5 linked regions of the Danio rerio genome follow. The protein of the gene in region 4 binds, or shares a complex with, the protein of the main gene of each other region. Links are inferred from orthologs where the notes say so. Each region holds a gene or a part of one and is shown on either strand. Other genes may lie near its edges.

Evidence for each region. Proteins that work in one complex are often made in the same cells at the same time.
Region 1: the proteins of sumo1 (region 4) and sae1 are in contact, whole or in part, in a crystal structure (PDB 3KYD), measured with the Homo sapiens proteins. The link is inferred for Danio rerio from reciprocal best matches to the Homo sapiens genes SUMO1 and SAE1. Residues at the interface, in NP_001005781.1 of Homo sapiens: Asp30, Ser31, Ser32, Glu33, Ile34, His35; in NP_005491.1 of Homo sapiens: Thr179, Lys180, Val181, Ala182, Lys183.
Region 2: the proteins of sumo1 (region 4) and senp2 are in contact, whole or in part, in a crystal structure (PDB 1TGZ), measured with the Homo sapiens proteins. The link is inferred for Danio rerio from reciprocal best matches to the Homo sapiens genes SUMO1 and SENP2. Residues at the interface, in NP_001005781.1 of Homo sapiens: Asn60, Arg63, Leu65, Glu67, Gly68, Gln69, Arg70, Ala72, His75, Glu89, Tyr91, Gln92, Glu93, Gln94, Thr95, Gly96, Gly97; in NP_067640.2 of Homo sapiens: Asp386, Lys394, Leu395, Arg396, Trp410, Leu411, Asn412, Asp413, Glu414, Thr440, Phe441, Pro444, Lys445, Arg456, Trp457, His474, Val477, His478, Trp479, Met497, Gln542, Gly545, Ser546, Asp547, Cys548, Gly549.
Region 3: the proteins of sumo1 (region 4) and daxx are in contact, whole or in part, in an NMR structure (PDB 2KQS), measured with the Homo sapiens proteins. The link is inferred for Danio rerio from reciprocal best matches to the Homo sapiens genes SUMO1 and DAXX. Residues at the interface, in NP_001005781.1 of Homo sapiens: Lys17, Glu18, Tyr21, Ser32, Ile34, Phe36, Lys37, Val38, Lys39, Thr41, Thr42, His43, Lys46, Leu47, Ser50, Tyr51, Arg54, Gln55; in NP_001135441.1 of Homo sapiens: Glu731, Glu732, Ile733, Ile734, Val735, Leu736, Asp738, Ser739, Asp740.
Region 5: the proteins of sumo1 (region 4) and pias2 are in contact, whole or in part, in an NMR structure (PDB 2ASQ), measured with the Homo sapiens proteins. The link is inferred for Danio rerio from reciprocal best matches to the Homo sapiens genes SUMO1 and PIAS2. Residues at the interface, in NP_001005781.1 of Homo sapiens: Tyr21, Lys23, Val26, Glu33, Ile34, His35, Phe36, Lys37, Val38, Lys39, Thr42, Lys46, Leu47, Ser50, Tyr51, Gln53, Arg54; in NP_004662.2 of Homo sapiens: Lys466, Val467, Asp468, Val469, Ile470, Asp471, Leu472, Thr473, Ile474, Glu475, Asp479.

What each region holds. Positions count from the first base shown.
Region 1 is NC_133190.1:26,187,883-26,192,996, forward strand, and holds the start of sae1 (SUMO-activating enzyme subunit 1), read left to right. Parts: upstream 1-1,659; 5' UTR 1,660-1,833; coding exon 1,834-1,934; intron 1,935-2,609; coding exon 2,610-2,721; intron 2,722-3,168; coding exon 3,169-3,342; intron 3,343-5,114. Other genes in the region: zc3h4 (zinc finger CCCH domain-containing protein 4), read right to left, coding at 188-267. UniProt on the Homo sapiens protein: The heterodimer acts as an E1 ligase for SUMO1, SUMO2, SUMO3, and probably SUMO4. It mediates ATP-dependent activation of SUMO proteins followed by formation of a thioester bond between a SUMO protein and a conserved active site cysteine residue on UBA2/SAE2.
Region 2 is NC_133181.1:12,355,320-12,360,489, reverse strand, and holds the start of senp2 (sentrin-specific protease 2), read right to left. Parts: upstream 3,456-5,170; 5' UTR 3,328-3,455; coding exon 3,164-3,327; intron 2,696-3,163; coding exon 2,640-2,695; intron 1-2,639. Other genes in the region: zgc:112416 (uncharacterized protein C21orf58 homolog), read right to left, coding at 5,120-5,165. UniProt on the Homo sapiens protein: Protease that catalyzes two essential functions in the SUMO pathway.
Region 3 is NC_133194.1:8,084,204-8,089,362, reverse strand, and holds the start of daxx (death domain-associated protein 6), read left to right. Parts: upstream 1-1,704; 5' UTR 1,705-1,706; coding exon of another isoform or gene 1,707-1,754; 5' UTR 1,755-1,770; exon of another isoform or gene 1,771-1,887; coding exon of another isoform or gene 1,888-1,962; intron 1,963-3,966; coding exon of another isoform or gene 3,967-4,035; intron 4,036-5,159. UniProt on the Homo sapiens protein: Transcription corepressor known to repress transcriptional potential of several sumoylated transcription factors. Down-regulates basal and activated transcription.
Region 4 is NC_133181.1:10,602,871-10,608,016, forward strand, and holds the start of sumo1 (small ubiquitin-related modifier 1), read left to right. Parts: upstream 1-1,744; 5' UTR 1,745-1,846; coding exon 1,847-1,858; intron 1,859-2,624; coding exon 2,625-2,696; intron 2,697-2,838; coding exon 2,839-2,916; intron 2,917-5,146. Other genes in the region: nop58 (nucleolar protein 58), read right to left, coding at 187-231. UniProt on the Homo sapiens protein: Ubiquitin-like protein that can be covalently attached to proteins as a monomer or a lysine-linked polymer.
Region 5 is NC_133180.1:42,368,117-42,373,231, forward strand, and holds the start of pias2 (E3 SUMO-protein ligase PIAS2), read left to right. Parts: upstream 1-1,660; 5' UTR 1,661-1,695; coding exon 1,696-1,719; exon of another isoform or gene 1,720-2,050; intron 2,051-2,716; exon of another isoform or gene 2,717-2,801; intron 2,802-3,144; coding exon 3,145-3,613; intron 3,614-5,115. UniProt on the Homo sapiens protein: Functions as an E3-type small ubiquitin-like modifier (SUMO) ligase, stabilizing the interaction between UBE2I and the substrate, and as a SUMO-tethering factor.

The DNA of each region.
Region 1 (5,114 bases), on a different chromosome or scaffold from region 4:
GCTTGTGACCTTCCAGATTGCGCTGTGTAACGTTTCAAGATGGCGTTTCGTTACCTCTGTACGTTTCCCAGAAAAGGCGACTTTAATCCCTTTGAAAGAAAAAAAGCAAATGCCCGTGCTTTTTGTTTTTGGAAAAAAGCAAAGGACAAATCAATAGTTGGATAGAAATATGATGATATTACTCGACCTTTCGTCAGTGAGAAGGCTGTTGTGTTCGTGGTTGGCTGTTGGGGAGTTTGGATGGACAGTCATGCTTTCCACAGCCATTTCCTCTAACGTACTACATTCAGTGCAAAAAATCAACTGTCTTATGCGTTACTTGACTTTGATCTACTTGTTGATTGGCATTAGGAAGAGATTCAGTTCATTGTAGTCAATTCCCCCCTAACAGTTTAAAAGAGAAACAGGTTGAAAACGTTCCTGAGGTTCTCCGTCCTACAGTTGCGATGTGAAATGAAACTCATTCTCTTAAAATGGCGACGCTTCTTCTCCGAAGAGAATGGGCGGACTTACGTGACGTCGACTGTCACGGAAATGACCGATCGGGTCATGAAAAAAAAACACTTTTTTTTTTACTCTAAGGGTAATGTAATAGTTAAAATAGTATATATTAACTGTAATCATGCACATAATATCTTAATATAAAACGTTATTTTTATCAGTATTTATTATTATTATCATCATCATTATTATTATCATTATTCATTGTATTATTACTGTTTTATCAAAAAAGGGGCCTTGCAGTTAAAATATATCAACATTGCATTATCTTTGGTATCATATGTTTCAATACCTATTCTGGACCTATATATATATATATATATATATATATATATATATATATATATATATATATATATATATATATATATATATATATATATATATATATATATATGTATATATATATGTATATATATATATATATATATATATATATATATATATATATATATATATATAATTGAATATAATAACTCTAAAGTATCAGTTTTATACAACTCAACTTTTTATTTGATTCTATTTTGCAAGCACAGATCTAGAAAACAATCATTTAATGCTATTAATAGTGATCTACACTCCAATAAATATAATTCTGTCACGTTTATGTTTGCTTAAAACCATTATTATTGTAAATTATACTATTACATTTTGTTTGAAATTAAAATCTTATTTTGCCAGTGATGGGTTGCAGCTGGAAGGTCATCCGCTGCGTAAAATATATGCTGGATAAGTTGGCGGTTCATTCTGCTGTGGCGACCCCAGATTAATAAAGGGACTAAGCTAAAAAGAAAATGAATGAATGAAAATCTTATAATGATTGTCAAATGATTTGTCAAATCCTTTGAGAATATTTTTAAAAATAAAGAAGACTCTATATTATTTATACTCTTTATTATTTAATGTCTCTTAAAATAAAAAGTACTAATTTTCTTTTTTCCATTTCTTTGCAAGTAGACTATTATAAAATAGTAAAATGCACCATTTTCACTCATATCTGGACAGAAATTTTAAGTTAAATTAACACCATGAACGGACCTTTGCTCATAAAATTATGCATTATTAAAAATTAAATTCATCATATGTACATGACATATTTTGGTGACACATTTAACGCTCGCTAGATGTATAAAGGATCCCTGATAAATGTCCATTGTCGAGCTCTGATTCTGGCACACATCTCCTGCGTCATCATTGCGCGCCTTTACGAGTTTCACTAAGCGGCACTTTTGTCCCATTGAATGGGCAATAGAAAAAATAGAGCGTAGAATAGTCCAACTAACCCGTAGTTAATTGATTACAGCTTATCATCAGAAATACAAATATTCCGAGATGATCGATACCATCGAAAAAGAAGACACTATTATTAGTGAGGAGGAAGCTGCACAATATGATCGCCAGATTCGCCTGTGGGGTCTCGATGCTCAAAAGAGGTTCGTGGATAAAGGTTTCGAGCAAAAAAACAAAACTTAATCATATTTTATGGATCTTGTTTTTAGATGATTGTTTGTGTGTGCAAAAAACATAAATTATAAGTTGGGTTAAATGTAATTAATTATTGTGATTAATCCATCTTTCACAGTCGTCTGAAATACAATGCGTGAAAACAATGTTCGTAACTTACTGGTTGTATATTGCCAACATAATAATGAATTAATGTTATGTACGTGTTTAGTACTTGTCAAATGTTTTAAATCTTCATTATTTTAAATGTTATATAATAGTCTCTCATGCTCACAACATGCGCATAAAGGTGAACACATATTGTATTACACGATGTAAAAATAAGTTTTCTAGTATCTAATATGTTATGTGAATTTCTGAAATAAATGCACAAACATTACACATTTGAATGCTCTTAGGTCACAGTCTCTACAAAGTGGCACTAAGTAACTGTTCATACAGTTATACATAATATACAGTTGATTTCTAAAGCATAGTGTGACACCTTAGACTGCAATTTAATAATGATGGTCTTTTTTAACTTAATTTTTAGCACATAAATTCACTCATGGTGAGCAAGAGAGGCTTTATTAACAACATATAAATCACCATGTTTCCAAACATTTGACCAGTACAGTAATTAACAAACATAACTGCATTTTCAGACTGAGGGGATCACGAGTACTTCTTGTTGGTCTGCGAGGTCTTGGAGCAGAAGTAGCAAAGAATCTTATTTTGGCTGGAGTCAAAGGACTGACCCTCCTGGACCATGAGCAGGTATCAAATAAAGTGCTGTCTAGCATATTAGCATTGCACTCATCAGACATCTTTATTGAATGGAAAGGAGATACATCCATTCATTTTCTTTTTGGGTTAGTCCCTTTATTAATCTAGAGTCGCCACAGCGGATTGAACAGCCAACTTATCCAGCATATGTTTTACACAGCGGATGCCCTTCCAGCTGCAGCCCATTACTGGGAAACACCAACACTCATTCAGGCACATACACTACGGACAATTTCGCTTACCCAATTCCCCTGTAGCGCATGCTAAGTGCCAACTGACCCCCCGAGGCTCGAACCAGCAATCTTCTTGCTGTGAGGCGATCGTGCTACCCACTGCGCCACTTTGACGCCCTAAAAGAAATGCAATAAAATTGAATTATGAGCACATTAATAGAAATATAACTTGGCAAAAAAAATTCTTATGACTTCCATCGATCAGGTGACTGAAGAGTCCAGGCGCGCTCAGTTCTTGATTCCTGTGGATGCAGATGGTCAGAACCATGCTCAGGCCTCTCTGGAGAGAGCTCAGTTCCTCAACCCCATGGTGGAAGTAAAGGCAGACACTGAACCAGTGGAGAGCAAACCAGATGACTTTTTCTTTCAGTTTGATGCGGTGAGTTACAAAGCCAACATTATATTCCTGGAAACTGCATAATTTACATAAATAAAGCATACAAAAAGGCTTTTATATGTAATAATAATAGTAATAGACACTCTTTAAATAATAACCACAGAATAATAGTTTGCAAAGGCAGAGAGCTAATTCCATCCGGAAATGCTCTATTGCTTAAAAAGAGGCATTTCATATTTTACAACTATTTATAAGTGGTAAATGGCTGAAATTAATATCCAGTGGTAACTATTTTCAACTTTTTTTCCCCAAATATAGTCATTTTAAATTGAAAATGTGGTACTATTTACATAGTTCAGGTTATAAATCAATGAATGTGATGATACAAGGTTTAGATTTTTTGAAAGTATTAGGCGTAAAAAAAAAGAGTGTGTGTGAATAATTTAAAAAGTGATTAGCAAACAATTCAAAACAATCACAATAAATGCCTAAAGTTGATCAATACTATAATTTGTATCCATTTATTTTGTAATAATAAATTATAAACAATGCGCTACAGTAAATAAACTTCTTTAAATGTAATTATATTGTTTTTTTTTTTCGCTTTATATTGTTGTCTAAATGTATTATTAACTTAGTGAGTTATGTTTTGGTCTCACTGTCTGCTTGTTAAGTCGTGACGTATGGAGTACTGTTTCTGGGTCTAAGCCGCTTCTCATTTGAATCGAGCAAATATTTGTTCATGACCATTTTACATCACACATTAGAGTTGATTTTATATAAAATCATGATGTACACAATAGTCTCTGGGCTTGCTACATCACAGACACCAATATTATAACTATTTATAAAAATTTATCACTTTCTGGCCACCGGTTATTAGGCATGGATATTTATATTACTATCGTGATTTTTGAAAGTATTACATCGCTTTGTAAACGTTTATTATTTCCATTTGTTGAGCCTTCCCATACAGTTTGATAAAGCAGTTGGACCTGGAAGCAACTTTGCATGACCTCACACTTAACAAGGAGATGTTGATATTTTTTATTGAAATGTTTAAAAATAGACAAAGAGTTCAGATGCAAAAACCTCTAAGTGCCATCTGAAATTTTCTCCTAAAATTATAAATTTTTCTCAGGCTACTGTGTTTAAGTTGAGTAATTTCTCTTTTTTGTCAATATGTTATTTTTATTACCTTTATTGTTAAATTAGAGAACATAAATATAGGAGTCTTGGAAAAATGCCTAGTTTAAACGAAATTTCAGATTGCACTTAGAGATTATAGCATCTGAACTCTTCATATGAAAACATATATGAATCCCTGTAATAAAAGCACTTTCTCATACTTTTGACAATACAAGAGACGTTTTGTATTTTCAACATAGTCATACAAAAAGGAATACATTTTCCAATTAAAAAAAAAACATATTTGCAAAAGTTTAAATGATCACATTAATTTAAAGAAGAATTAAGCCTAGTATTTCCTTCACCCTGCTATACTTGTTTGAATACAAGTTTAGAATTAATGCTTGTTTATACAAATTGTTTGACCGAGTGTTGAAGGCATGGTTGTGAACTTGGTCTGATATTATTTATTGAGCTATTATTTAATGAATGTTGTAAGAAAAAAATGAAGATGATGTAGAAGATCTTAATGAAAATGTTTATACATCATAGTAGTCTCCAAATACACGGCAGTACCCTGTTTTTATCAAAGTCAAAATGAACCCTTAACTCTTAAACTCCAACCTTTTATACTGTTTTAGACTTGCCTTTAGGTGTTAATAAAGTTGCTCCTTGGCTGTTGATAC
Region 2 (5,170 bases), about 1.8 Mb from region 4:
TTATGCGCGGCTAAATAAAACGCAAAAAAAAAAAGTTTTGCATGAAATAATTCTCATACTAAGTACTTTTGCATGCACAGCAGCACAGAAACATGACAAAACAGTGACACAGCAAAGACGAACTGCTGCTCTTGCTGTTTTCAAAAGACGCAAATGAAGGTGCAGCTGTTTGTCTGCATTGCAGACAACCATATCCAAATCCATATCGATAGACAACCATATCCATGCTGGCACATAAAACCTAAGGATGTTCCATATTGAATCTAGTTTCGTTATGTAACTATTTATAGTATAGTAAATATTTATATCTATTTTTTACTGAGGATTTGCACCATGTTTATTTGGACTTTATTTGGACTTTGACACATTATTTATTATTTTCTTATTTTTATTTGTTCATTGTAAGTGGTGTTGTTTATAGTAACTGAAAATATATTATTTGGAAAAAGTCAAATTTGCTTCACTGTTCTATTATTTTGTAACATTTGTAACATACCGTATACCGCGAAACCGTCAAACCGTGGTATTGTTTTAGACGATTATCATACCGTGAAAAATTCATACCGTTACAACCCTACGGTGTTGTATCGAAATCTGACTCCCCACTTGCGTGCACGCACGTTACACAGCGACTGCAGCTGTCACAGCGGTTTATCAGAAACCTTTTATCAATCATTTCTTTTGCAATTGACAGTAAGAACGAACATAGAAGCCTTGTCAAATTGACAACCAGCACCTGAATGTGTTTAAAAGAATTAAAAACGCCAAAATTTGACAAATTTATTTACGGATTATGAGGTCAGTACTAATTACACAACAGTCTCATTTTAACATTTACATTATAACACTTAGCTCTGCGTTCTGGTGTTATAATGACTGTTTACATGTCTATGCTTAACCAGCATTTCATCACAGTACTCTAAAATTATTTAGTTACTTCTCATATATCTATAGTCTGTTCGTTTTCATGTCCTCATTTAATAAAACATGTTTAGTCAAAACAAAAGAAAAAGTGCAGGATTTTGTACATGGAGTGAAAGACTTATCTTTAGATATCTTCGATATGTGCACTGTTCAATAATTGTGCACAATACAGACATGTAAATGTGTAACTAAAAAAAACATATACAGCTGATTTAATTGTCGTTTATAAATCACAACTATGGTTTGCAGAATTTCTTATAACACTGTAATTGTGATAAAATACTGTGCGTTTCATATTTACATTCAATGTGGTTCTTTTTTATCCTACAATACTTTTTGTTTTGTTACTATTTAAGTGGGTTCCTTTTTTGCTCTGACAATGTTCTCTATGGTTCTGTTTACTTTGTTATTTGCACAACAGCACAGAAGTGCTGAGTTCAGTGTTAAGCAGGAAAAAAACGCACTGTATTTATCAAAGATTTTTTTTTATAACTTGAAATGTTTTGCAACTTATAGTTTTAAGCAGGAGAAAAAACTGAACTGTAATTTATTTATCAAAGATTTTGTGCAGCTGTTTATTTGTAAACAGGGAGGGAACCCTCTGTGGTTGAATTATATTTTGCTCAAAAATTGTTTAACAAAGGCTTTAACTCTCAAGTTACCATTTATGGCAAAATACCAGATATATAATCGTATACCGTCATTCCTCCTAAAAGTACCGAGGTATGATTTTTTTTGCCCATATCATCCAGCCCTAATATGTACAAAACTATTAATAAGCCAAACCACGCTGACTGGATGATTTGCAGCTCTGCTAGCTCAGACGAGTGCTACAGAGATCACACAGTATTTTCAGCGCATCAGTGTTTTCAAAGCAAATATTTGAAGATATTTTTCAGACTGAAAGAGAAAGTTGTTGTCACAGAACCAGGTGTTTGATTGTTTTTACCCTCTTCTTTTCACATAAGTCATATTTTAATAATTTGCTTATTATTATTTAAAAATGTTCAAGATTATCTCTTCTAAAGTGTATCACGCTGATACTTATAATAATTAATTATACAAATAATATTAATTATTCACCTTCATAATCATGTTTAACTCTTGTCTCTATCTATCTAGTAATTTTATAATCAGTATTTTATGCCAGCGTACAGTTCTCTGGACCAGAGAGCCCATTGACCACCTCTGTACACAATGCTCTCACTTAGGAAAGGCTTACCTCTCTAGCGATCTCAGTCCCCAGTGAAGTAGTTTTTTCAGCAGGGGACATTGTAAATGTGTAAAGCTTATGCCAAAAAAAAAAAAAAAAAAGATATGCAACCGTTTCTTTTTTTATTTAAATGTAAAATCCCAGCAGTCACAGCTTTAGTTTGTTTTTATTAACGAGTCTTCTTCTTTAGTTAGTATTATTCTTTTATTTTTTTATTTTTGGAATTTGATTCTAAAATAGCAATATAGTTATGGCAAAAAATATATATTATTTTGCAAAAAATGTGCAGCATTTAAGAAAAAAATAAAAAGGCTCTTCACCTTAAATTTGTTTAAAATTATTTTGTTAAAAAATCGTGACTAAATCGTGAGATTAGTATCGTGAATCAGGAGTCAGGTGAATCGTTACATCCCTATTTTCCATATCACAACATCTACAGCAGTATATTACAGATTTTCCAACATTGTGCATTTCCATTTTTATTTATATTTAAAACATTTACCATGTCTTGCTCTTTTGACTTCTGGGTATTCTGACACCCCATCAGTGGAGTAGACGCTGAAACACATAAAAAGATAAACATGTTATAAAAAGGAATAATCTTTATAAATAAAACACAACATAAATTAACGTTAGGCTCACTAGGAAAAAAAACTGACACTAAAACAATAATTTATTTTAAAATCACGAATGTTTACACATTTACACAAAAGCATATTATAATAAATATTGTCAAATCAAAAGTCTAGTTAATGCTACAGCAATCTAAAAAAAATAATTTACATTATCTTTATAGTGTAACATTAATTTAATTGTGATTGTTTGCTGTCAATCAAGCGTCTATTGATTAATTGTTTACACTGGACTGATTCCTGACCCTGAAGTCAAATGCTAATAAGCTACACTTGCTATTGTTCAGGTAACTTACAATAACAAACCACAGACTGGCACATGTCTATGCAAGGCACTGTGTAATAAACACAAAAGCACAAATTTTCATTCAGACATAAAGAAAAAGACGAATACCTCTGATAGTTGCGTTTGGCGGGCCTGCTGTTCTCCTGCCGCTGAGTGTCTGTGGCCGCGGCTCGCGCTTTACCGTTTGCGCGCTCACTAGGCCAGTCTTCGGATTTCTCAGCAGAAAGAGGCAGGAACAGCGACGATAATACGTCAGCTATCCATTCATACATTACAAACCACCACGAAGAATAAGACTCTGTTTCGTTTGTTGGGGCCAGGTCTATAGTGGAGATCCCGCAACCGAAAATTCAAGCCACTCGTGTTTCAATAGCCTTCCGTAGCCGTGCTCTGCGTCACTGATTTGTCAACTGCGACACCATGGCACTGTTTATCGGTCAAGCCCTCCCACTCTGCACTCCGCCCGGAGATTAAAGTTCCTTTACACCACGGTTTAGCGCTAGGGAGTTTGTCTTTTCGAAAAGTTATTATTAAAATGGCACAAGCTAAATAAAAACACACACTTTAATTACTTACATTTTATCCATTTAAATTCCACTCTATGTACGCCGATTTAGAACTTTTTCATCTTGTGAAGGCAAATCGGGCAACCAATCACAGGCGGCACTGGGCGTCACGTGACTCAGAAAGGCAGAAATGCTTAGTGGTTGTGCTGTTTTCTTTCACATGTTCTATGTCAAAAAACCTTTAACAGCACAGAAGGCGTTTCGTCATTACCTGATATGACGTAACTCCATATTTATGGCGTTCAGCTTTGTGTTGCGCAAGACGATACTGTACTGCAGCTTTAAATATAGCATGGCAAAACAGTCACTGCCCTTACATTTTTACTTTTAAAAGTAGTTTTAAAGAAAGAAAACACATCTGAATATCTTTTAAATATATATATATATATATATATATATATATATATATATATATATATATATATATATATATATATATATATATATATATATATATATATATATATGCTATTCCGAAAAACAAACAAAACCCTAAATAAAATAATGTTATATTTTTCAAAAATACTATATAAACTATTTTAAAACTATTAACATAACTACATAAATGAAGACTGAAGTAATTAAGCTGAAAAATCATTTTTAACATCACTGGAATAAACTATTAAATTAAATTATAAACAACGTTTGAACAGCTATTTTATAGTGCAATAACATTTCACAATTTTACAGTTTTTACTGTATTTTTGATTAAACAAATGCAGCTTTGGTAAACAGGATCAGCTTATTTTAAAACCAAAACTTTTGTCCGGTAGTGTGTATATGATTATAAAAACATCATTACATGTGTGCTTGAAAACATCATTGTTTCTATACATGTAATTACAGTACTAATGAAATCTGTCAAATACTTAAACAATAATTGTAAAGGAGAAGAGTAGAAAAATAAAATGCTTTTGTTCAAAAACACAATTTATGTCGATGTAAATTCTGTCTTTGGGAACGTGGGATCTGTCTGCAATGTGGCTTGAGAAAACAAAGAAGCAAATGAGATACTGGGAGCTTTCTTAAATTGTATTTATGTATATGAAACACATTTATTTTTTAGATGAATTTACCAAAATAACTTACAAATGAGAATAGAAACAATCAGAACGACACAAAGATGTCAATTAAAGTTGTAAGTGATGCGTTAAGTCCCAGTCTAACACAATGTTTCTTTAAATAAATAATAATATCTATACATACTGTATGTGTGTGTGTGTGTATATATGTATATATATAGGGATCAAATTACACAGTAAAACAGCAGAGTTCCACACAATTCCTTCATGTTGTCCCAATACAAATCGATTAAGCTACCATAATTGTTTTTGCAAATTGAAGTGGATTGAACATAAAGCAATGAAGTTGTCCTAAAAACAACTAAAATGTGTTAATTTAGCTCATTTTAAATAAGTAGTTTAAACAAAAAAGCTAAAACTTTGTTTTAATGTAGGAGGATTAGGGATCAAAAGCAAAGAAGAGGCAGAGTTTAACATCATTGTCCAGTTGGAATCCTGGGATTCACCGCATCAGTTCCCATACTACA
Region 3 (5,159 bases), on a different chromosome or scaffold from region 4:
TTGGGTCTCATCAACAAAACTTCTGACAACAACCTAGCTTTCACATGTGGTCTCCCATCCAGGTACTGACCGAGTGCAGCCCTGTTTAGCTTCAGTAGGCGACCATGTGAGAGTCGCAGAGAGCTAACTGCCGGCATTGCCAACATTTCCTTTTCAAAGTGCCAACAATGATCCAATACCAGTTCCAAAAGTGCATTCTACTATTGTTCTCCTGTTGTGCTTATAATTAAACCATGCATGCACTTAGTAATAAAACATTTCTTACATTAGACTTTGAACTCCAAAACATGCCTCCAAAACATTTATTCATCCATTTTCCTTCGGTTTAGTCCTTTTATTCATCAGGGGTCGCCACAGTGGAATGAACCAGGAACTTATCTAGCATATGTTTTACACAGGGGATGCCCTTCTAGATGCAACCCAGTACTGGGAACCACCCATACACTTATTCACACACATACACTACAGCCAATTTAGTTTATTCAATTCACCTATAGCGAATGTCTTTGGACTATGTGAGAAACTGGAGCATGTTATCTTTGGAAATGTCAACTGACCCAGCTGGCACTCAACCTTCTTGCTGTGAGGCGACAGTGCTAAGCACTAGTGGTGTAAAGTAACTAACTACAAATACTCAAATTATTGTATTTGAGTATTTTTTCTCAGGAATTGTAATTTACTAAGTAGTTTTATAAATGTGTACTTTCACTTTCCCTTGAGTACATGTTTAGTGCTTTATCTGTACGTTTACGCCACCACTTTCCTTCAACCTGCAGTTACTACTTTATTTTTTCTTTGTCTTGTCTTTTATTGTCAAATTGCATATAGGAGGTACTTTTTACTCATACTTTAAGTAATATTTACAACAGCTATACTTTTACTCTACTTGCTCTACATTTTTAGGCAAGTAATGGTACTTTTACTTATGATTTTTCAGTACTCTTTCCACCACTCTGTGGTCACTGTGTCACCCTTGGGATTTTGTATTTTTATTTAATTTTGAAATGTATTTTAAATACATTTTTAAAAGGTTAATCTGTTGATTGTGCTTTTTATGATATGCTATTAAGGCCTACTTTATATAAAATAAATCTTTGAAAAACATTGCTCTATAAATTGATTAATTATTTCTAATTAATAATCAACTCATTATTAACCCTTTGATGCACTAAATGGGTCTAAAGTGACCTGTCTCTGCTTATTTTTTCTATATCTATTTTATAGCTTGTGCATCAAAGGGTTAATACAGTTAACAATTAATAATTCAGCTTATTTATTTAATTTGTTATTTTATTTAATTTTCTTCAAAATGTAGGCCTCTGGTCTGGTGTTTGGAAAAATAATAGAGATTTTTATTGCCTGTTTTCTTTATTTTCTTTTACTCTCAGGTAGCCAGCACATAATAATTGTAGAATTCAACCCTCACACTACTAGTGGCTCCCTGATAAGTATCAGTTTTGTTTCTGGAGAAGCAAAACACTAGATGAGCACCTGCTAGCGCTAAGAAATTAAATTTGCTTCATTACCACATCATGTTATTGTTATCTGAAGAACTGTACAATCAGTTTATTCTAGAGTCTCCAGTTCCCTACGAGGCGCTGATACGCATCTAAATGATTAGCGTAGCAAACAGATCGCAGAAGAAAAGCAAAGCATTCACCCAATCAGCGATCAGTATACTGACCGTCAGCGAACCAGCGCGCCGCATGTTGAGCTGTACAAAGATCCAGCGCCGAGTTTCAGGATCCGAGCGCGTAAGTTCGTGTTTTTTGTCTATTATTGATCGACTTCGAATAAGACTTTATTTTAAACATAATCACGAAGCGTTTGCGAAGGTTGTGAGGAAACTGACAAATATGAAATTACACCTTAGCTATCGTCGTTTTAATGCTTTTAACAAATAAACGGAAGGAGTCTGTATGGCATGTCCGAATTAAAGAGCTACAGTCTTCAAACCAAAAGGCAAAATAACTGAAATTATTACATTTATATTTATGTTAAGTGTAAACAGTGTGAAAATCTCATTGACACATCCAGTTAAATCTGGTTGATATGGTATTAAGTCAGTCAAAAGACATCATAAACATAGTTACCGCTCAAATTCACTCGTATTGTTATTGTGTTATAGGAGACGGATGTGGAGGCATATTATTGGATATAGATACATGTTATACGTCTTGTGTGGTTTTGTTTAATGTCTGATAATTCTTTTTATCAAGATGGTGACGAATCATAAGTACTAGTTAACCGAGTTTGTTGTGTGTGAATCATCATAGTTGTGTCACATTATCACATGATCGAAAGCTAGCAATATGAAGTAGCATTTGGCTACGATTTTAAGATTCCTGTCTTTAAAATTCTGGTTAGATATTTAATTATAGTATTTCGTTTAACTATGTAATGTTTTCTCTTCAATTCAGAAAAATAGGGACATTTTAAACGTGGCTTAGTATATCAGAACAACAACAACAACCAGAGAAACCCACATATCTGTCATAATTTACGTCAAATAAACTCTATTCCATAGATAAAGTGAACAGAGTGAATAATTTCACATTAAGTGTTTTCTCCCCTATTTAAGTCTGTTATGAGAAAAAAAGCCTAACTGCTTATTGTTAAGGAACATTAAGCCGTGTTAAGCTTATCTTATTCCTTACTTGGATTTCAATGGGGAGAAAACACTTAATGTGATATTGTTCACTTCATCTATGGAATTAGAGCTTGTTCATTTTACAGTAATTAATGTTAATTACAAATTTGACAGAAATTATATACAGTTTAAGTCAGAATTATTAGCCCCCCTAAATTATTAGTCCTCTGTTTATTTTTTTCCTCCAATTTCTGTTTAACAGAGAGCAGGTTTTTTCAACACATTTCTAATCATAATAGTTTTAATAACACATTTCTAATAACTGATTTATTTTATCTTTGCCATGATGACAGTAAATATTATTTGACTAGATAACTGCTTTTATGCTAGCCGAAATAAAACAAATAAGACTTTCTCCTGAAGAAAAAGTATTATCTGGCATACTGTGAAAATTTCCTTGCTCTGTTAAACATAATTTGGGAAATATATTAAAAAAAAAAAAAAAAAAAAAATATATATATATATATATATATATATATATATATATATATATATATATATATATATATATCAAAGGGGGGCTAATTATTCTGACCTCAGCTGTAGATGAAGTTTTTCTATTTCCACATTTGGACTTTCTCCTTAATATAATCTCATAAAAGTATTTGCAAATTCTAAATGGAGAAATTATATTAGCAGCCGATGACTATCAATGTAGAACATTGTTCACAGTCAATAAAATGGTGCTTATGTTGTTTTGAAGTCATACGTAAATGCAATTTCAGACCTAATATTAAAAGTAGTGTGGTAAACAATTTAGAGATCGTTAAATGAATGAATGTGCAAATATATCACCAGCTTTACCTCAATTTAAATAATGGTTACACACACGGCATTGTTGGTTTACAAAAAAAAATTAAGCAAATATAATCCTGTTGCACGTCTACATTTGATTTTGGTTTTATTGTAAAGCAAACTCAACCAGAAATCGTATTAAAGTAGAATCTGAGGTAATTTATGACATACTTCAAAAAGTAAAGATGATTTAGTGTTCAAAAATGTTTTATTTTGAATTTTTTATTTATTTTTTAATACATTGGTCTTATACAGTTCATGTTTTCAGATTTTTCATATTACAGTATATGTATTTATTCCAGGTACGTTTACTGTAAATAAACCAACATATTAACCATTTGGTAGAGGTTGATATTTTAGAAATTATGGGATGTGTTGACAAAAATTCATTAAACGTGTTAACTATCGACATTGGGAGTTAAGAAATGGAATTCCAAAACTATTCTTGGTTGGGGAGTTAAAGGGTTATGCGTTTAAGCGTTTGTCCCAAAAATGACATTGTTGATATTATTGTTTTCCAGGTAAATGCTGATTTTGAAACACCAGTTTGGATTTTGACTGTCTTGATCAATTCAATGCTCAGTGCTCAAGTATGTACAGACAAGCAGAATACATAAATATTAAATATTTAAAACGCATACCTATTGTGTTGATGTCATGATAGATAAACCATGCTCTTGGATATGCTGTTCTGTAAAATACACCCAAAAATATCACCTTGTCCCTTGTACATTTCTTACATCCTGCTAGTTTCAGTTTCACTTAAAAATTGATTTGACATTTAAATGTTGTTCATATTAAGGCCATATAACTCCTTTTCATTTTAACCTTTACATTCCTTTTTCATTGGAGTAAAGTGAAACTGTTACAAACTTTTGATTACTGAAAGCTTATTTGGCCATCAAAACTGAATATTTTTTTTTAAAGGAAAAAAAACATTGCCCAGAAATCCCCTATTTTATAACTCAAAATGTCTTTTTTCCCATTTTAATTTAAAAACGTTTTCAGTTTTAATGGTTGAATTACATTTTAGTAATTAAAAAGATACATTTCGATGAACAGGACAAGCTTTTTGCTGTTACAAATATATATTAATACAATTATATTATACAATTTCATATTTAGGTAATCTGAAATATTCTTCATTTTTAAAAATCATTTTAAGATTAAAACATGAATAAAATGTTGTGTAATTATTTTTATTTTTATATATAGTTATGATTAGGGCTGAAGAATATATTGTTTCAGCATCAGTATTGCAATGTATGAATCTGCAATAGTCACATCGCAGGATCTCCAATGTTGAGTTGAGATTTTAATTGTGGAGTATAATTAATTGTGAATAAAACTAAACCCTAACTGTGAAAGATTGTTTTTGGATGTGTTTTTTTTTTTTAAGACCTGTGACTAGGATTTCAAGGAAATTTAAACTAAGACGTTATTAAGTTTGAAGCTTTCACAACGATTCATTTATTTGTTTATTTATTTTTTTATACATTGAACACTATATAGTGTTATTTTACATATAATTCTTGATTTTCTGTTCCTGAATTATGTTAGATTCCACAAAAAAATGTAAAAAACACAGTTTATTTAATTAGCTTCTTTATGCTGTTGTATTCATCTAAGCTTTTTATATCTTATACATAATTTATTTGCCTACAAAATTATCCAAATGAATCTAAAACTAAGAATTCTTTCCAAACAGAGTTAT
Region 4 (5,146 bases):
ACAAAATTACATATGTACTAACAGCATTTGCATTAATAAAAATCCTTAGATTGTACGTTTTGTCTTTTTGAAAGTCTCGGACAGCACTGCTAACTTCGCCGGCTAGCTAAGTGTAACCGTAAAAGCTACACAACTGCAAGAAAACGGCTACAAATACATTTAATTAACACAAAAAAATGAGCTTACCTTAAAAATGGCATAGCCGGCGGCAGTTTCAAATAACACTAACATTTTTGAAACAGCTTTTCTTGCTCTGAATAAAGTTTAAGGTCGAGCTCCCGAGACCGAGAGCCTTCCGCTACAAGAAGTCGCTCTCTCCACGAGGCGCACATGGGACAGGACGAGCATGCGCAATACTGCCAGTGAAATGTGCGCATGTGCAGTAGTCTCAGCCTCATTTTCATGCACCATCACCTCGTGTTGATTTTCAGTTTTCGAGTTTTATATTCAAAGTGTGTAGAGACAATATTTTGGATAATGTCATATTCCAAATAATGAGGATGATGATGATGATGATGATGATGATGATGATGATGATGATGATGATGATGATGATGATAATAATAATATACTAAACAAAAGTTTTGTAAAAAAAAAAGATATTTAAATGTTTTAGACAAAAAGATGAATAAACAATTATAATATGAAATATTATTTCAATTTTAAATATCTGTATTGTTGTATGTAAATATGTTTAATATTCCAATGAGAGTTCAGAATTTGTTATGGTCAATTTTACTTGGTGCTCTATGATTAATAATAATTCTGCTTGATATTTCTGTTAAATACACAATACATTCAGCTTTCTAAAATTCTCAGAAGAAACTGTATTTGAAATAAAATGTTCAGTAACATTATACAGATTTTTTATATTACCTTTGATCCACTGAATTAGTCTTAATGTCTTTTTTAAAATCTATGGCATTAAAAGTTATAAATACATAAAATAAACGATTTATTGTTTTATTTATGCAGGAATTTGCGAATTTATTAACTAATTGATTTTTTATTTGCATATTAATTTATTGTTTTATTTATTTATTGCTTTATTTATTTACTTTATTTATTCATTGCTTTTTATTTTTTATCTTTTTAATTTGTGTATTTATTTTGTACATTTGTTTATTTATTTAGCATGTTTATTTATTGTTTTATTTATGCAGGAATTTGTCTATTTATTTATTAATTTATTTGTGTATTTATTTATTTATTGTTTTATTTATGCAAGAATTTGTATTTATTTATTTTTTGTGTATTTATTTATTTATTGTTTTATTTACACAGGGATTTGAGTATTTATTCATTTATTCGTGTAGTTATTTATTAATTATTTTATTTATGTAGGAACTTGTGTATATATTTAGTCATTTATTTATTTATTTATTTGCGTATTTATTTACTGTTTTATTTATGAAGGAATTTGTACATGTGTTAATTAATTTATTTATTTGCGTATTTATTTATTTGTTGCTTTTGCAGGTTTCGTCCTCCAGAGGTGTAGTGTAGTTGTCACATTATTTTTGCACTCTAATATTTCGTGACCAAAATACTGATGTGTTTTTTTTTTTTTTTTTTTTGCAAAATACGGGCCTCCCTATGTTTTACCAATAGCAACATCGCAGATGGCGATTGGAGCCAATCAGAAAGAGCGTGGTGAGAAAAACAACGCTCGTTGGGTCATCGACCCAGTGTCATAGAAAGTCCAGCCCCTTTCCAATGACGTCAACGGCGCTGTGTTGTGGGTCTGCTGGTAGCACTATCAAAACCTCTCATTACTGTACATAACACTGTATCGTTTAAATCAAACAATCTTGATCTACAGAAGGGCTGCACATTGCGGAATATCATGTCAGACACGGTGAGTCTAAACCTGTGATGCTGAATCGAACTTTCATGAGAGCAGACGAGAAAGACGGACTTATAGAAAATGAAAATAAGAGGGCCCAGCTTTTAGCCTGTCTAGCTGACTGTGGTTTGGAAAGTATTTTTGATAAAAATGCTTGAGTGTTTTTAACTGTGCATAGTTTCTGGTTCTCGCAATTTACACATTAGTCCAATTTACTGTGTTCACAAATGCCAAAAATATGTGAATTTCTTCCTCAAATCGTCCAATTAGCATGTGTGCTAGTTAGCTGCTCTGGGCCCTGAAAGCAGAGTTCATAATATCTTGAGCTGATAGACCATGCTGAACATTTGAATTAGTTATTAATTGTTGATTTTTTGATATGTTCATTAGGATTATTCGTTATTTGTTCACGTTAGTTTGTGTTCGGTTTGTGCTCGTATTAACAGCTCGCGATAGAAGAGTAACGTTAGGTTGTGTGTTTACATTCAAAGCACACACACACACACACACAGCCTAGTGTTTAAATGATAACAACACTCACAATATTATTTTATATATAATATATATATATATATATATATATATATATATATATATATATATATATATATATATATATAATTATAATTTATTAAAATCGGATCTACCTTATTTTATACGATCTTCAGTCAATATTTTATTGAATTCAGTCCCAAGATATTTTTTTAATTCATTACATTAAATCTGATAAAAAAACAATATGACATGCAGTAATCGAATGCTTGTTTTGTTTTAATAGGAGACCAAGCCCTCAAGTGATGGAGGCGAGAAGAAGGATGGAGAGTACATTAAACTCAAAGTGATCGGTCAGGTGAGCAAAAGCACTTGTTTTCTAGGAAATGCAGGTTTTCATATTTAAACCCATTACTGTTTAAAACCAATCCAGCTGTTCTTTTATAATGAGATATATGAAAAGATCTGAACAGATTTGATGATTTCCTTTCATTTCGCAGGACAACAGTGAAATTCACTTTAAAGTGAAGATGACGACACATTTAAAGAAGCTGAAGGAATCCTACAGTCAGAGACAGGTGAGTCAGTTTTTCCATTTATGAGGGATAACGATAAATCTACACTACCATTCAGAGGTTTTGGGGGGTGGGTAGGATTTTTAAAAAACGCACTAATGCTACTTTTATTCAATCAAAAATGCATAAAATCTGTATTATTGTGAGTATTGTTACAAATAGAAATACACTAACACTGTAAAAATCTTAACTGTGATCAAATTAATGCGTCATTGCCGAAACAAAAAACAATGTTTAAATAGTTGTGTATGTTTCAGTTAAGGTTCCTGAGGTCTCATTTATAAAACATTGCATAGAAACTTTCCTAAAAGTGAATGTACACCAGAATACATTTTTATTTATTTATTAATTATTATGGCTTTTATGATGATTTAAAGTGCTTGAATTAAGTCAATATTTAAGCGAAATGTGTTTACTTAAAGCTGCGCACATTCTCCCGTCAAGTTTGTTTTTTATAGATCATAATAACCTGTATAAGAAGTGGCGTACACGTGTTTCCACCCCCAATTTTGTGTATACCATGTTTATAAATGAGACCCCTGGACAGTTTATTCTCTCTTTCAGATCAATTATTTGAACCATGTTAGTTAAAACATAAAACGTCTGTAATGATCATCTAAAGGGGGTGGAGTAACAATTTATTAAGAGGAAATTCACATTAATAGATGCTTTTAGTTTTGGTACAGAAAATATTGTTACACACAGGATATATATATATATTTTTACCCATTATGAGTTTTGGTAATAAACATTTAGTTTGCTTGCCTCGGCTTTTCTTTATCTCTGCTTTCTTAAATGAAACGCAACGACACAAGTATTTACTTTCTTTTACAAATATTATTGACAATATTCCATATCATACTCTCTGCTATTATAAATAAAACATAAACCCATTATATAATGACATGCAATCTAATTCTGAAATATATATATATATATATATATATATATATATATATATATGTATATGGTCAAAGATGTAAAAAATATATTTATATTTATCTGTTGCTTATAAAGTTACATGTTTCAGAAATTACATTTTACAAAAGTATATTTTTGTATTTAAATAAATTACTATTACAGTTTTATAAACACTCAAACCACTGCAGAAATGTTGCATATATCATATACACTAAAAAAAAAGACTTTTGCGGCTTGTTCAAAGTACTTATATATAATTAGCTGAAACTTGTGTTCTTGAGGACAACTTAATTGTTTTAAGTTAAGCCCACTTAAATTTATGAAAAAAAATTAAGTTTAATCAATTTATGATGGGCCATGTAAAAGAAATGTGTGGACCATAGCATTTTTACAGTATATTAGAGATCAATTTTCTATACAAGTTAAAATCATTACCTTAAATGTTTGTTTTAACAGTTGCTGGAAGTGTGTAAACAGGTTTTTGATTGTAAATGTAGCTTTCTTCACGAGTCACTGCTGCGTTTAAAATGGCATAAATGTTATGGGAGTGCACTATGGAGATAGCACAGTTGTCAATTTGAAGTTTATAAACTGAACTGTAATAAGAATAACTTTAATATAAAATGTGAACAAGACAACCTTTAATGTTTTTAAATGATTCAGAGTATTTGTGTTCAAATGGACAAGGGCATAGGGTGGATGATTCAGAATAGAACACAGCCTGGAACTCTGCATCTAACTACAGCTCTAGAGGTGTAGCTCCAACCAACCAAGTGTGTGATGCTGTTTGTGAATGTTTGCTATAAGATGTATGGATGTATATTTGGAATAACACTGAATTGCTGAACTATTTTTGTAATGAAGGAAATTGTGATCTTAGTTGGTTGGCGATGGTTTTGTGAACAGCACCATTATTCTAGAAAATGCACAAAGACAATATCAGAATTTGCTTTAAACAAAACGATTTGAGAAGTTTAGAACAACTGAATGAATTCAAGTCTTGTATTTTCATTACACACCGCTGTTTGTCATTTTTAAAAGTGTGTATTTTTAATGTAAAAATGTTCAGCTCCACATTACTCTGATTAGAAACTGATAACGAGAGTGTGCGATCGTTTACATCTGACTTTACTTTGCTGTTTTATATTTGTTCCATATCTAAAGATTGATTACAGTGTGTTGGAGGTGAATGTATTTAGTCTTTAAGTTTATTCTCATTCATTTACTCTTTATTTACTGTTTTTTTTAAGAAAACCAATTCAACCAAATCATACAGTGTGGTATAGATCAGTACGGTGTGGGTAACCTTTAT
Region 5 (5,115 bases), on a different chromosome or scaffold from region 4:
AGATTTTATTCATTTATGTATTTATTTTTTATTTCAGTAGTAATAAGGGCATATTAATAACTGTTCTAATTTGTAAATGAGAATATGAAATGTAAGCATTGGGTTAAACAGAGGTCTGATCAGGAACGAAAACCCTCAGTCAATAATCTGGTGATGGTAGATTAGCTCTGAGCTCCATCTGCTGGACAACAGACTGTAACTGTCATCCTGAAAAGCTAAATTGGTATGTTCACACTATAAAAACACTTAATCGTGAGACAAAATTCATTACAGTTCCTTAATGGTTCTCAAAGTTTTGGCTCCAAGACTTCATTTACAACATTTGGATGACTTTCAGTTGTTTAACATGTTAATCAGTTAAATGGGGCTTGGTATAGTTATGTATATAGTGTATACAACTATACACTACTATAATCATAAGCTGTATACTAAAACATAATATATATATTTTAGATATTTTTAATGATTTCCAACATCTACAAAGACAACATAAACAGTTGTTAATGTGTGGATTATAAAAAAGTTTTTATTTAACCATTTTAAATTCTCAAGGCTCCCTTAGAGTGACACGGTGGCTCAGTGGTTAGCACTGTCTCCTCACAGCAAGAATGTCGCTGGTTCGAGCCTCAGCTGGGTCAGATGGCAATTCTGTGTGGAGTTTGCATGTTCTCCCCATGTTCGTGTGGTTTTACACTGGGTGCTCTCCTTTCCCCCACTGTCCAAAGACATGCTATAGGTGTATTGAATGAACTAAATTGGCCATAGTGTTTGTGTGGGTGGGAATGTCAGTGTGTATGGGTGTTTCCGCTGTGTAAAACATATGCTGGATAATTTGGCGGTTTATTCCACTGTGGTGACCCTTGATTAATAAAGGGACTAAAAGCCAAGAAGAAAATGAATGAATGAATGAATGAATGAGGCCCCCTTAGAATTTTGCTGCCCCCTGGTGGAACACCACTAGCATAAACTAAATGGTCTCAAACTTAATTCCTGGAGAGCCACAGCTCTGCATAGTTTAGTTTCAACCACCTCCAACTCACACCTCTCTAGTAGTCTTGAATACCTTAATTAGTTGAATAAGCCATGTTTGATTATGGTTGGAGCAAAACTGTGCAGAGCTGCAGGCGACCCTCCAAGAACTGAGTTTGAGACCCATCTATGCTGTACAGCTTTTTTACTTCATCTTATTTGCCTTGGTGCTAAAAGGTTTGTTGGAATCACATTAGAGCTTACATGAGGACATACTCTCAGAAAAACAGTTTCAAAACACATTTCTAGTGGCGAAAGAGAGTACAGGAATCACACAATGCAAGTAAAAACGCTTCCAATATATCTGCGATATTTAGGATTAGATTATTGCAGATAACATTGCCACCCAAAAAGACTAATTAACAAACATAACATTGAACTAAAATGTTTATAAACAATTTGAACTGATTAACAGGATTTTACTTTTCGATGGCTAAATGATCTCCTCCTTGTGGAAAAATAATTATAATTTCGTTCACAGCGAAGGATTCTGTGGTTGATTACTGAATAACGGAAACTATTCCCAAAATATGGGTAAGGGGAAAAGCAAATCAGGGAACCTCAGAAGAAAATAAAAATGCACAAATGAACGACGTGACCCCTTTAACCAGCCTGTGTCACGTGACTCGACATCTCCGGACTAGCCAGGATGAGCGCAGCCAGAAAATGGCGGATATTGAGGAGTTACGGGTAGGCGAAAGTGCAATGATAGCTGGCTACTTCTTTGCGTCTTTCACATGCTGAAGGCATTTTGCAGTTGACGTTATGTTATGCTATTATGCCCGTCCGTTGGCCTTTGATGCGTTAGTTTCTTCATAGTTAAAAGAGAAACGCGACATCCCTCCGTTATTCGGGTTATGGTTAGCCTGTTAGCCACCAACCCGCTACTCGTTTAGCTCTCGAGATGCTACACAAACGTTGAAGATCAGCCTCAAAATGCCACTGCTTTTATTGCCACCATTGACTGCATGAAAACGCTTTATTATAATGCCTAACTGAACTTGACGACTGTTCGCTTCAGGTAAAAAGTTTTTACGTTCTTCACTGCTCGACTTGTTTTGGCTGGTCTTTTGTTAGCTAACGTTAGCGTCCGGCAGCTATTGACATTGTTTACATGTAACTTACACACAGGTGATGCTTGATTTATTAGAAGTGTTTGCAAGGGAGACATATGTTTAATCCAGCGTGTCCAGAGTCTCTTTGTGCGTGTAAATGAAAGTGAACGTGCGTTTTATATCATAATTGCTAAGTTAAACAATGGAAAATATACACACTGAGAATGTTGTTTACAAGCTCTAACTGTAAATAGTTTGCGGCAAACAAAACAAACTTGACTTCTGTTTCATATTTTCCTCAACATAAGCACTTTAGTAGTGTGATGCATACATCACTTTTCTGAAATTGAACGTATTCAGCTCCAACAAACGTTAACCATGCCATAAGAAAGGTATACTGTGTGTACTGGATACGTTAATGTTAGACACTTGCTGTTATATCTGTCATTACATAACTGACTGATTCATGCTGTCCTGTAAAGTGTTCAGAATTGTCCAGATTTGCTGTAAACCAAGTTTCCCGCCAGCAGTTCTGTTGATTTCTCTTGAGATCAACGTGAACATCTGTTTTGTTCTTTGTCATGTTCTCGATGTTCATCTAATGGGTCTTGGAATTATTCTCAACATTTTAGATGCATTTCGGTCATTTGTTAAGGATTATTAAAGAAAAAAGGATTAACACGTAAGAACAATCAAGCATGGACCGTGTAATGAAGGGTCAGTTGAGATTTTCTTATTTCTTTGGGGTTTCTTGAAAGGGTGTTTTTTGGGTGGGCTGTCACCTCACTTCACACATAATTCTTTGTTAATTAATCTGGTTACTAATTAAATGACACTTTTTGGTTTAAAAAAAACTGTCATAACCATTTTCCACAAGCTTATGCCATGTTGATTTTGATGCAAAGGTTTATGTCTTGCTAAAATCTTAAAACAAAAGTTGTAAAAGTACACAAAATGGCATAGAGGGTGGTTATATTTACTAACCTGTGGCAAATGTATTCTTACTAATGTGTGGTGTTTCTTTTTTTTTTTTGTTGCCTTGTCTGGATTTATTTTTCAGAATATGGTATCAAGTTTCCGTGTCTCAGAGCTCCAAGTACTGTTAGGTTTTGCTGGAAGGAATAAGAGCGGTCGCAAGCATGAACTTTTGCTGAGGGCTCTGCATCTACTGAGGAGTGGTTGTAGTTCTGCAGTGCAGATCAAAATCAAAGAACTGTATCGGCGGAGATATCCAAGGACATTTGAAGGTCTTCAAGATTTGGCGGCACTAAAGTCAAGCATTAAATCCTTCATTCATCTGGACAGCGGTGCCACGGCTGTAAGCTCAGATCTTACTCTGCCAACCGACCATTCAGACGTCCTGCAGCAGCGCCGGGAGAGCTGTGATTCACCTGTGTTTCATGAGTCAAAGCCCATGATGAACATGCAGCAGCCCACGACACTAATGGCCCCCGTCCATCCGGATGTGCAGATGAAGTCCTTACCGTTTTACGATGTTTTAGATGTCTTGATCAAACCATCAAGTCTAGGTAATTGTCACATGCTTGGTGAAATAAACAACAACACAGCAAAAAAATAAATAAAAAAAATCAATGCATTCACATTATAACTTTAAAGTTTAGCAACTGACTTTAGTTTTGGTGGTTTTGCAATTATTAAAAAGTTTTGGGTCAATGAGTTTTTTTTTATTTTTATAGATCAAAAGCGATTGTAATGACAATTTCAATTAAATGAAAAATTCACATTTTAAGCTGCTGTTCTTTTGAACATCTTTTGAAAAAAAAAAACATTCCACAAATATTAGCACAAGCTGGTTTCAACATTGATGGTAGTATATAATATATAAAAATAAATTGATGTTTTTTTTTTGTTGCATCAAATCTGCTTATTTTTCTTATAAGACTGAAGTCTGCAGTAATGATGCTGAAAATTTAGGCCATGTCCACACTAATGCGTTTCATTTGAAAACGCATATTTTTGTCTCCGTTTTGCCCTTCCATCCACACTGAGACGTGTTTTTAGGAAACAAAAACGTATCTTTTTGAAAACGCTCTCCAAAGTGGATAAATTTGAAAAAGACTTTTTCGTGTCGTAGTGTAGACTGTGAAAACGGAGTCTTTCGAAAACGATGACGCGTTTTTTGTCATGTGACACTCAGTCATGTTACTAATTCGTTTACTTTATTTTCGTTGTGATTATGATTTTAGTGATGTCGTCCTTACTGTGAGGGTAAGCAGCGTCATCAGCAGGATACTGTTCTTTAAAGCGGTCCAGTATATCGGCGTATTTGTTTTGGCACGTCTCCCAGTCTACATTTCCACTCTCTTTTGCAACTTTGTATTCATGTGTTACTCGAAGCAGCAACTCTACTTCATTGTCAGTCCATTTAAAAAACTATGTGCTTTTCCTTGACATTTTGCAGCAACGTTTCAAAGAGCCGGAAAGAAAATAAACGTCAGCCGGAAATGACGCTTGACGAAGCGTCTTACGTTTCACGCATGCGCAGTACAGGTTAAAAGCATTGGTAGTCGTTTCAGTGTGGATGACAAAGTTTTGGAAAACTAATAGAAACGTCAGTGTGGGCGTGAAGCGTTTTTAGAGGAAAACTCCGTTTTCAAATTTATCCGGATTAGTGTAGACATGGCCTTAGTTTTGCAATCATGAGATTGGGTTTAGGTAAAGGAGTTTGTGATCTTCATTGTCATGATTAATACATTTCTGGCAACAGTGGACCAATGTAGTATATAGTTTTCATTTAGAATTGTTATAATATTGAGTCCAATTGTTAAAAACTGCTTCATTTTCACAAAAGAATTAATCATTACTTGCATGAATGTGAAGATCTTTGATATGTGCTGGAGTATACTTGACAGAGTGGTTCTCCTCAGGGTCAGATAATAACCTGAAAGTTCCCTTTAGCTTAGATTATGGTGTATGTTCATTGTAGCTTTGCTTTAACAACATTTCACAATGCCACAGTGTTTATTTCTATCAAGAGTTGCATTATGTTTGGACAAAATCTTGTATGATA